2 linked regions of the Caenorhabditis elegans genome follow. The protein of the gene in region 2 purifies or fractionates together with the protein of the main gene of each other region. This does not show direct contact. Each region holds a gene or a part of one and is shown on either strand. Other genes may lie near its edges.

Region 1 (4,492 bases), 5.4 Mb from region 2:
ATTACAGGCATACAAAGAATACAACTATTCAACTTTTGAAAAAAATCAAATTTTCAATTTCCGGGAAAACGACTCAAAATTTATGATGACTGTTTCAACATTGATAAATTTTCTTTGAACATTCCCTCCCATCACAAACACATCATTTTATTTTCACCAGCTGTCAATTCCACGCAAATTTGTGATTTAAAAGTGTTGTTTAACAGTCTTATCAGAAAAGAAAATCTGGACAATAAACAAGTCTCTTCGGAAAAGGAATCAGCTGACCGAAACACATGTAATTTGACACAGTTATCATAGAATAAAATGAATGAAAAGTCAAGTATGAGAAAAATGGAAATGACCATGAAATTTTTTGCGACAAGTGCGTACGATTCTTGCGTGCGTCACTTGATTGGCTATGAACATCTATGAATCAGCTCTCCTAAAATAAATAGCAATTGCAAGAAAAACGTCAATAGAAATCCGTTTCTAAAAGTAGGTATGACGCGTTCGCATTAACTTTTAAATTGGGAAATGTGATTCAGATATGAAGCTTGGGAGGGGGGGGTGCCCGCATTATAAAAGAAACGAAATATTCAGGAAACAATTTTTCGGTGTTTTGCAGATTTTCTAAATTTTCAGAAATTTCCAAAAAATTTTGGCACTGAAATTGTCATGTAGAAATTGAATTGAAAAAAACGCAAAAAAAAAACTAAAGCTTCTCGTTGGATGTGACTGACCTTTTATATGCAAAATCCTAAAGACCTTCTCTTCTCGTTTTTAAAAAAATATTTGCTCAAGTTTTAAGACCAAATTAGTGAGTATTTTGTGTACAGTTTACGGAAGCGCTTATCGGTAGGTCAACAAAGCAGATGGAATTGGAATACCTTTAAAAATAGAACACTTACCACAAAAACTGAGATTTGTCAATGCGGAAAACAAGAAATGATGGTTATAAGTTGTCGATTATCGAGTTTGAGGTGTACTGATAACCAATTTTTCGCTGAACGGGGCTCGATTGACAGCTCTTATCAGGGAGGGTGTGATCGCTTGACCGGGGTCACATTTTTCGGCATGGGATGATGTTTTTTATTGATAATTTGGAGAATTTTAGCATGGAAAATTATGTAAGCAAAAGCTTTTATTAGATTTTATTGGTCGTAAAATTGGAGAAAAATGTTGAAATCGATGATGGAGAATGCTCATATTAAAATTTCAAAAAAAAAACGATTGTATTCCTTTTTTCAAACTTTCGAAAATTTTAGCGAAGTTATATTATAATTCGTGCTCCCATCTCATTGCAACCACCTAAAAAAATGTAGCAAAAATTTAAGAGTTTTTTTTTGAAAAATTAACATTTCTTAGAAACATCTGGAGAAAAAAATTCAAAATTTTTAGATCTTCGGTAGCTCCAATTTTTTTTATTAGAAATTTTTTGCAGAATTTGGAAATTAAGAAGTTTGGAAACATGGATGCAAAAGTTTTTGTTTCAAACTTTATTATTAGAACAATTACTGTGAAGAATATTTATATTTACAGATAAATATCGAAAAACACACATGGATACTGAAAGACAAGGCAGATAGCATTATAATAAAGCAGTGACAAATGTTCGATTCCAAAACTCTTTAAGAGTCTCCCTTAATATTTGGATGTCCTTCAAGATGCTCACGGAAGCAGTATCGGATTCTATCAAATTGTCCAATGCAGAGAGCATATTTCAAGTAATCAGTAGGTACTCCTTTGGTAGTTTCACAGTAAGCCATACATCCTGGAATAACGCCTTGACGCTGGCAGCAAGCAGTATGGTCAGCACGAGAAGATGCACAATCCCACATTTGACCGACTGTTGGACCCTTTGGAGAGCATTCACCGAGGAAGCCAAGAACCTGGAAGTTAGGCAGGCATGTGTAAGATAATTTTTTTTTGATAATTGTTACCTGGTCTGGTCTGAAAGCATCAAAATCGCAATATTTTCTTCTACAATCCACATCGGCGTCCTTCAAAGATCTACAGCACACTCTCAATTTTTGATTGGCATTACGTCTTCCAGGAACTCCATAGCTAAAAATTCCCATTTCAAGTTTTTAAACAAAATTATAATTGCTTACATTAATTGGATACGATCCTGAACGGCATTTGTGACTCCGTGTTGAGCTGGTCCAGCGACAGCCTGTGTCTGTGGCTGTGCTCCAAATCCAGCTGGAGCTCCCCATTGATGTTGTGGCCATGCTGGTGCAGCTGGTTGTTGCCATTGGTTGAATGGATTCCATTGCCAACCTTGACCAGAAACACATACGATTAGGAGACTGCCAAGGATTAGGTAGTTCATGCTGGAAATTAGGGGAAGATATTTTGAAGCTAAGGTGGCATTTGTGAAAGCAAAATAAAAACAAAAATTTGAAGGGATTTAATTAGAGAAATCATATTCTATTGCTCAAATTTGGCAGCTTTTGCTGCCAAGTTTGGAATTTTTTTTTCAAATTTCTCAAGGTTAAATTTCTAGATATTTTTTGGATCTTATAAAAATTCCAAATACCCAAGCTTACGCCAGATAGTAAAAACTAGGTAGGCACGTGGATAGGCTCTCGAGAGGCAGGTAGGCATTAAATCGTATCTGAATTGAACACGAAATCTTCAGATCCGTCTTGAAAGCTAAGCTCTACTGCACCTAATTTATAAAAGCTCTGAAACGTTCTATGGCAAGGTTTCTAGGTTTTACCCACTTTCTGAAAAAGAAACAAAACTTTTCATTGTCATCCGGATTAACTAAATCTAGGTAATCTCAAAATGTACATGTGTTTTGTTCGACCACAAGTATGACATAATTATTACAATGTTAAAATCAGCTTGAACATACACTTTTGTGTTTTCTTAAGAACTTTGTGCCAAAAAAATTATCAGAAAATATAAGCTTCGATCAGCTTAAAATGGTCAAAATTGAGACCAAAAATCTGATTTTAAACCAAATTTATACAGCATTTTGTTACAGTGTAAACAAAAAAGTGTAAGCCGAATTAGTCATCAGACGGGGAATTGAAACTGTAATAGAAGTGATGTCAAAAGTAATCTCAATGTCAGTCAAAGACTGAAGAAACTGACATAAAACACAGACAACTATAGGTTTCAGAATGAAAAAGAATACTACCGATAGGAGGGGATTGTTCAAGTTTCACTGAAGATTATAGTATAGAACAAAACGAAGAAGAGAAGCTGTGACAGAAAGGTTTATTGAGAAATGATGGGTGGAGGTAGTTGCAATTGAATGTAGTCTAGATCTCAAGTTCGGGTGATCAAAATTACAGTGTGAAGCTATTTCCCAATTTTCACAATGGTTTAACTGTTTTCAATCGAAAAAAGTCGTAAAATTAAATTTGAAAAAAAAATCAGATAGGTCACACAGAATTTCAACCACCAACAAAATAAACATTCAGATTCAGAACTACACCTAGATAACGTCATCAAACTATATATCATTCCTCACAAGCAATGTCATTTTGTTGCAATTGTGAGGAAAAGAAAAATGATTGTGTGATAATAAGAGATGTATATATTGATAAGAGAAGCCAGATAATGGCAAGTGTTTCTCTTGTTAGCTGACCATCAAAATGTCCCACACCGAAAACCGGTTCAATTGCCTAATCGCTTTTCTTTTTTTTTCTTATCCATCACCATTTTCGCTTCGAATTATTCTCTTGTTGTTCTTCAATTTTTTTCTTACCGTCGTCAATTCTGACGTATAACAATTCAATTGAAAACGAAGACAGTTGAAATTCAACAAAACAGAAGGAAGTTTATAATTTATTAGAATTCAAGAATGTATGTTCACTGACGAATTGCTTTGTGATGTTTAAGATGGGTACGGAAACATAGACGGTACTTGTCAAATTCAGATGTACAAAATCCATATTTAAGAACATCGGTTGGAACGGATTTTGACGCGTTGCAGAACGCACGACACAGTGGGAGAACATTCTGAAATTGGGGAAACATTTTAAGAAGTTGGAAGCATATTGGAAATTTTTGGAAAATTTCTGCGGCAATTAATACAGAAAAAAATATATGTATACGAGTATCTGGCTAACTTATTTTTCCTGTGATCAGCTTAAAAGTTTTATAAAAACATTGATTACAACAAATGATTGTAAAAATTAACTATTCTGAACTATTCATCCTTTTTTACAAAAATTCCTGCTTGCCTGCCTTTAATGCATTCTGCACCTGTTTGTGAGCCTTCAAAAAACCTACATCTGCCTTGTACCTACGGCCATGTTATTTGACGGCTTATATCTCGACTGTCTTAAGTTTTATCAAAGAATGTTTCACTTTCAAAATGTAGAAAAAATATTTCGGACAAATTTTGTCAGTTGACAATTTTTGATAACACCAAAAAAATCGAGATATAAGCTGTCAAAGAAGAGTAAGGTGGGTGCAATTCTAATAAGTAAAACTTTTAGAAAATTTCAGAAAAAAAGAAAGTTCTCAACGGTATAAATAAAGTCCTATATTT
Region 2 (6,368 bases):
AAAATATTTATTTAAAGGCAGTGTGGAATTGAAATATGGTCTAGAATTCAGCTCGAGTGAATTTCAATTTAATTATACTTAATTTGAAGAAAGTTTGAGCGGTTTCCAATTTTAACTCAACTCACAAAATGAAATCCACCCGAAACCTGTAAACTTTAAATTTTTCTGTACGTGAATAAACAAAGATTTTAAATTTAGTGTATCTTACAAAAAGCCTGATTACTCTCGTAGAGACCTAGAACCCAAAAAAGATCTTTACAAAAGTATAAATCTACAGTAGTGTTCAAAATTGATCCAACAATAAAAATGCGATATTATCGTAGCAAACGACAAAAGCCATATAAAATGTCTGTGCCATAAATATCACTAGAAATCATTGTCACTGGAACCTTCATAAAATATGTCCTTTCTCTATACCGTACACCTCCTCGTAAAGCGTGTCCTCCTACGTGTCTCCGCGTCTCCTCGATTCGTCCGATCTCTTCGCCAATTTTCGCAACAAATTGGGAATTGGCGATCAAATCTTGAGTGCGGAAGGCGCCCATCTTCGCACGAACACGCCATAAATCTGAACGTGTGTCCCTTTGATACAGGCCGACTCGGCGCGCGCGGCGCTCATAAATTTGAGCGATACACTAACGTTTTTATAGACACCGACACCTTATGCAGACACCATATCCCGACTGACTTGATGAACTGACTAACGACCTCGAATTTGTTGCAAAAAAATTAAATGTTCCTGGGGAGCTTGTAAGTAAAGATTTTGGAATGTTAGGTTTCTGTTGTCTATAGAAATTGCCCTACGTCCAAAATTCAATTTCTCATTAGCAAAAACTATATTTTCCCATGATTATAACTTCCGGAATCTTCTGATCTACATCCTCAATTTCAGTCAATCTCGGAAAACACCCAAGTGCGAACCGCTTGGATCAGGTGAAAGGATCACCGGCTCAGCAGGGGGTATGATGGGAATCTGGGCTCAATATCCGGCTACCAAAGTGACAGATCCTGGGTATTTTACGAAAAATGAAGAAAACATATTGGTGTTGAAAAGACGTTTTCCAGAAAAAAAACATCCCAAAAGGGAACTTTATGTTTCTGAAAAGTTATTGTTATTGTAGTTATTTCATCTAGAAAAAAATCTTCAAATTCAAGCTTTTAGTTCACATTTTCTCATAATCACCACCAAAGTGGGAGCCGCATAAATTGATGAGCAAGGAAAAGATCACCGGCTCAGCAGGTGGTATGATGGGAATCTCCACTAAATATACGGTTACCAAAGTCACAAATTCTGGAAAGTTTCGAGAAAGGAAGTAATTTTTATAGGAACATGTAGAAAATTCAAGAACTTCTGAAAAAATCAATGTTTTCATAAAATTCTCAATTTCCTAATTCCTCTCATACATTACTCTCGAATAGGAATGTTTTATTTTATTTAAATCAGACATGGACTTTAAATATCTTTTGAGGTATCCCACGGCAAACATACAGAAATTACATATTCATATTAATATTGTTTTAAAAAAATTGTCAGACAAACTTTTAGACCTGTAAGAAAAAATATGTAGAACTTAAAACAATTCAACAAATAACTTTCTGAATACAAGAATCACGAAGACATTGAAGTGCAGCATCGGAGAATTTTGGACGACCTGAATAGTCGGCATATGAGATCCATTCGAGCTCTGGACAGAATTGTGCCAGTGTATAGATGGACTTGTCAGTGCAGGCGGTGCCACGGATTCGGACTTCACGGAGAGGGCAACGTCTGGAATGTTTTTAGGTTAACCTTGAAGTATTCAAAAAAAATTTTGAAGGCTTACTTTGCCAAAACCGCCAGTCCTTTATCGCTGACCATTCTGCATCCATTAATATTCAAACATCTTAATTGTCGGCAATTTCCACCCAAAAGACATAAAAATCGATCATCAACGCTGGACATATGTGAAGTTTCAAGATCAGTGAGATTACGAGCTCCACGAGCAATTGCAAAAAGAACTCGATATGTCATTCTCATTCGACAAATCTTCAAACATTTCAACTTTGAAGCATTCGATTTTGAGCCACCGGCAAAATATTTTTGGAGAATATTGGTATTGAGATGATTGATTTCAAGAGAAAGGTGAGTTAGATTTGGAAGGTATTCTGTGACAAGTTTCAGAGGTTCATCGAAAAGACGTGGAACTGATATTTGAAGCTTGGTGATTTTATGTCCAAGAAGTGGGATAATGGCACAGAGAAGGTGATTTGCATTGTCAACGGCTTGCTGGAAATACATTTTTCTTGTAAAGCATAAACTTGTATTTAAACTTACAATATTAGCTTCTCTAACTGATACAATTAAATTGATACTGTTCAAAAACGGTTGATCCATTAAAGTGGAGAGCAACTGCTGTGAGTCTTCATCTCCAGACACTGATAATCGAATCGATTGAACTGTTGGTGGAAGCTGTGGCATTAATGAAAAGTAATTCCCGTACAAATCCAATGTTTTCAAATTCCCTCCATCGATCACAAACTGAACATTGTTTTCAACATCCTCAAGGTTCTAAGGAAAAAAAGAGTTCATAATAAAAAAGCATATGTCTAGTACCTCGTGGAAAAATCGAGCCAAGGACAGCTGTGAAAGGTTTGGGCATTGGGAGGACAAGTAGTGAAGAGCAGCAGCTGGATCAGCCAAGGATGTTGGGAAGTCGAGCTCGAGAACCTAAAATAATAAGGAAGTAAGTTATATGATATATAGGAAGGATCACCAACATGAAGCCGATCTCCAACATAGTGAGCAATGTCATACAATACTTGATCGTCGAGGGAGCGGCAGTGGTTTAAGTATAAACATCCGATCGTCGGGTTTTTGATGAGAAGAGTTCGAATTCCTTGGCTCGTAATCTGAAATTACAGTAAAATTTGAAAATGGCAGGTGAAATATTTATTTCTTTCTACAAATTTGAGCACAGATATTTATCTATTTTAAAATTGCAGAGAAAGTTTACAGAATACCATTCTTCTCACCGTTGTGTCAACATTTCAAATTATAAATTTTTGTTAAAAAAATATTTGTTTATATAATTTTTTAAAATTAAAACATAATTTCATTTTTAATCAAAAGTTTTGAGAAGTTGCCCAAAAACTTACTCGAAGTATCCATGTGATGACATTTTGCAACATAAAAAAAACTCTGGTGACAGTAATATTATTTTTTGAAAGTATAATACTTTCTATGTATTTCTATACACATTTCGGATTAAAAACTTCAAAAAAAAAAACAACGAGAAAAGTTGAATTTTGTAAGTTGTCTGTGTATGCCGCACATCTCCGATACAAGCTCGGCAAACATAGTCACCTTTCTGGCGCATTCTCAAAGTTCGAGAGATCTTTTCTAGAAAAGTCTCGAAATCAGGCCTCTCACCTTTCCACATCCAGATAAATCAACCGAGTACAAAAATGGACTGTACACATTCTCCAAACACTGATCTGTCAATTGGTGCATTGCCCTCAATTCCAACTGTCTCAGCAGAATTTGTCCTGTGGTGACCGCCTGTGCTCCGAGGTTAGTGACGTTTGGACAATCGACCAGCGTGATTTTCTCCACATATTTATTGTTGGTGGTCAGTTGATTGAGCATCTCGTCCGTAAGCTCAGCTGACAAATAAAATGTTAGAGATGGGATATTGCAGCCAAAGTATTTGGAGCACACGAGTGTCGAGCAATCTGATGCCGAAAGCTGGAAATTGGATGTTCTAACTGTTGGTCTGATAGTTTGCCGACTCACCTGGTCATGACTACAGAAAAATTCTAATAATTTCTGACGACACTCAACTGGGATGAAGCTCAGCTCACTGTTCAGCTCATGTTGGCACACAGCCGAAAGACACAGATTCAGAAGGGACTTTACCATGGTATAGTTATTGTAGATACATTTTTGGTACCCTGTATATGTTGTGAAGATCTGCAACAATAAAAATCAAGGGTTGAAGTTCAAAGGTTCAAATGAAAAAGCATCTGGATATAAGAGAAAATTCATAGAAATTGTTCACCACATTCCACATGTTATTCTCTTTTTTTCTGAGAGAAATTTTATGAAATATCTATTTTGGTCTTCGGAAAGCAAAACATTGAGGTTTTCTGCAATTGAAGGTGAAGTGTTTGGGTAAATAAACAACCGAATTAATGGAAAAAACACAATTCGAGACAAACGAAAACATTGTAGGCACACAACTTATCGCCTGCATTTTAGGCGACCTACACCTTCGGCCTTAAAGTTTTAACCTCTACACGAAAGAGCTAAATCCTTGAACAAGTAAATTGTGGCAAATACTCATTGACTCCAAAATCATTGACTACCTATTCTCATTGCCTACCCTTGCTCATTGTCTACTCATTTTCTTCATCAGTCAAGAGGCACGTACAAGGACCGTATTCCAAGAATACACCAAAGGTACATCTACTCAATTTGTTCATTCATTCAAAGGGTATACATATTTACAATCTTTCAATATGTACACAACATTTCGGGCAACAATTAGTAGTAGCTGAGTCATGTTTTAATTTATATTAATTTTGATAGGACACGAAAAGGCTGGGCAACATTCATTATTCATCAACATTAATAGCAACAATGGCAACAAAAAACAACAATTAAAAATTTGAAAAAAAAAGTGACAAAGAACGTAAAATCAATAACAATGAAATTTGGCATAAGAAATTCATTCGGAGTCATCAACTCCAGTGCAACCTTGTCTGACATGTCTGATACTACGGCGTCATGTTCCTATATACTCAAAAGCAGAAAACGAGTGATTGACTTCGACTCCGAATGAATTTCTTATGCCAAATTTCATTGTTATTGATTTTACGTTCTTTGTCACTTTTTTTTCAAATTTTTAATTGTTGTTTTTTGTTGCCATTGTTGCTATTAATGTTGATGAATAATGAATGTTGCCCAGCTTTTTCGTGTCCTATCAAAATTAATATAAATTAAAACATGACTCAGCTACTACTAATTGTTGCCCGAAATGTTGTGTACATATTGAAAGATTGTAAATATGTATACCCTTTGAATGAATGAACAAATTGAGTAGATGTACCTTTGATGTATTCTTGGAAAACGGTCCTTGTACGTGCCTCTTGACTGATGAAGAAAATGAGTAGACAATGAGCAAAGGATAGGCAATGAGAACAGGAAGGCAAAGAGCAAGGGTAGTCAATGAGCAAGGGTAGGCAATGAGAACAGGTAGTCAATGATTTTGGAGTCAATGAGTATTTGCCGTAAATTTTAAAGTTTTTAAAAATTAAGGCTTGTAAAAAAATTTTCAAAATATTTCAGTAGTTTCACTATGACTATGGTTACTTCACCACTAAAAATCGGTGTTTGCCAATCTCCCCTCTGCATCTACTCAACATTTCAAAATGAATCTAAAAAATTAAGAATATTAATAAAAAGCTATAAAGTTTATAAAGCTAAACTGAAGTGTAAAATTTTAAAATTTCGCTTTTGGTATTTGATAATTTTCAGCCCATTGTGCCAAATTTGAAATAATTTATTTTCAGCTTTTGAAACGACCAAATAAAGCGATGATAGATTTTTTAGAAGCAAAAAAATTTTTGAAGATAAAATTTCAGATTCCGCTTTACTGTAAAAATGGAAGAAAATAGGAAAATAACAAAAGGAAGGGAAAACAAACTTTGAAGCCGCAAAAAAGTTGGGAATTGGGCGGAAGATGAGAGAGATCCCGTCGGGAAGAGAGATTCAAGAAAGATCAGAGAGAGAGATGACATAGAGAATCTGAGAGAGCCCGAGAGCTCTCAGCAGATGCACACGGGATCGCAGAGAGAGTATGTGTTGGAGAGGATGACAAGAAGCAAAGGGCATGACGATGTTTTGAAGTATGTGACGGGAGCAGCCGAGAGTTTTCAATGGGTGAAATGGTGATGCCTCGAGCAAAGGTTACAGAGGGAAGTTCACTGCAGAAGATGATTCGAGGATTTTAGACTACACGCCACGTCATCACGAGTTTTGACATATAGAAAGCACCACTGGCTAGGGTTATTTGGGCTCTCATTGGGACAATTGAACAGTCTTCAAAGTTCAGCACCAGTCTACAAAAATTTACACATACTCCAGCAAATGCACTAATTTGAAAAAAAAAGTTGGGAACTGATCTTAAAATTATGATTCAATAAAAATTTGGGAAATGAATAGCAAACGCCACGGTATTTGAGGTAGAGTAGCATCAGTAGTGAGAATGTTGAAAACTGCTTCTGTGGTAATAAAATGATCTTTAAATATTTTGCCTGCTTGGGAACATTAGAGGAAGGGGCCAGATTTTTTTTCAGACTGTTGCAACTTATTTGCCAAAAATTTTCCG

The links. Proteins that work in one complex are often made in the same cells at the same time.
Region 1: the proteins of T01E8.1 (region 2) and dbd-3 fractionate together in Caenorhabditis elegans (co-fractionation; one large-scale study listed by BioGRID). This does not show direct contact.

Annotation. Positions count from the first base shown.
Region 1 is NC_003280.10:4,769,068-4,773,559, forward strand, and holds dbd-3 (DB domain-containing protein), read right to left. Parts: upstream 2,316-4,492; 5' UTR 2,315-2,315; coding exon 2,094-2,314; intron 2,047-2,093; coding exon 1,923-2,046; intron 1,872-1,922; coding exon 1,611-1,871; 3' UTR 1,466-1,610; downstream 1-1,465. Other genes in the region: dbd-4 (DB domain-containing protein), read right to left, coding at 3,808-3,957.
Region 2 is NC_003280.10:10,204,306-10,210,673, reverse strand, and holds T01E8.1 (F-box domain-containing protein), read right to left. Parts: upstream 3,950-6,368; 5' UTR 3,899-3,949; coding exon 3,773-3,898; intron 3,725-3,772; coding exon 3,410-3,724; intron 3,144-3,409; exon of another isoform or gene 3,123-3,143; intron 2,890-3,122; coding exon 2,758-2,889; intron 2,708-2,757; coding exon 2,594-2,707; intron 2,549-2,593; coding exon 2,315-2,548; intron 2,267-2,314; coding exon 1,824-2,266; intron 1,769-1,823; coding exon 1,582-1,768; 3' UTR 1,413-1,581; downstream 1-1,412.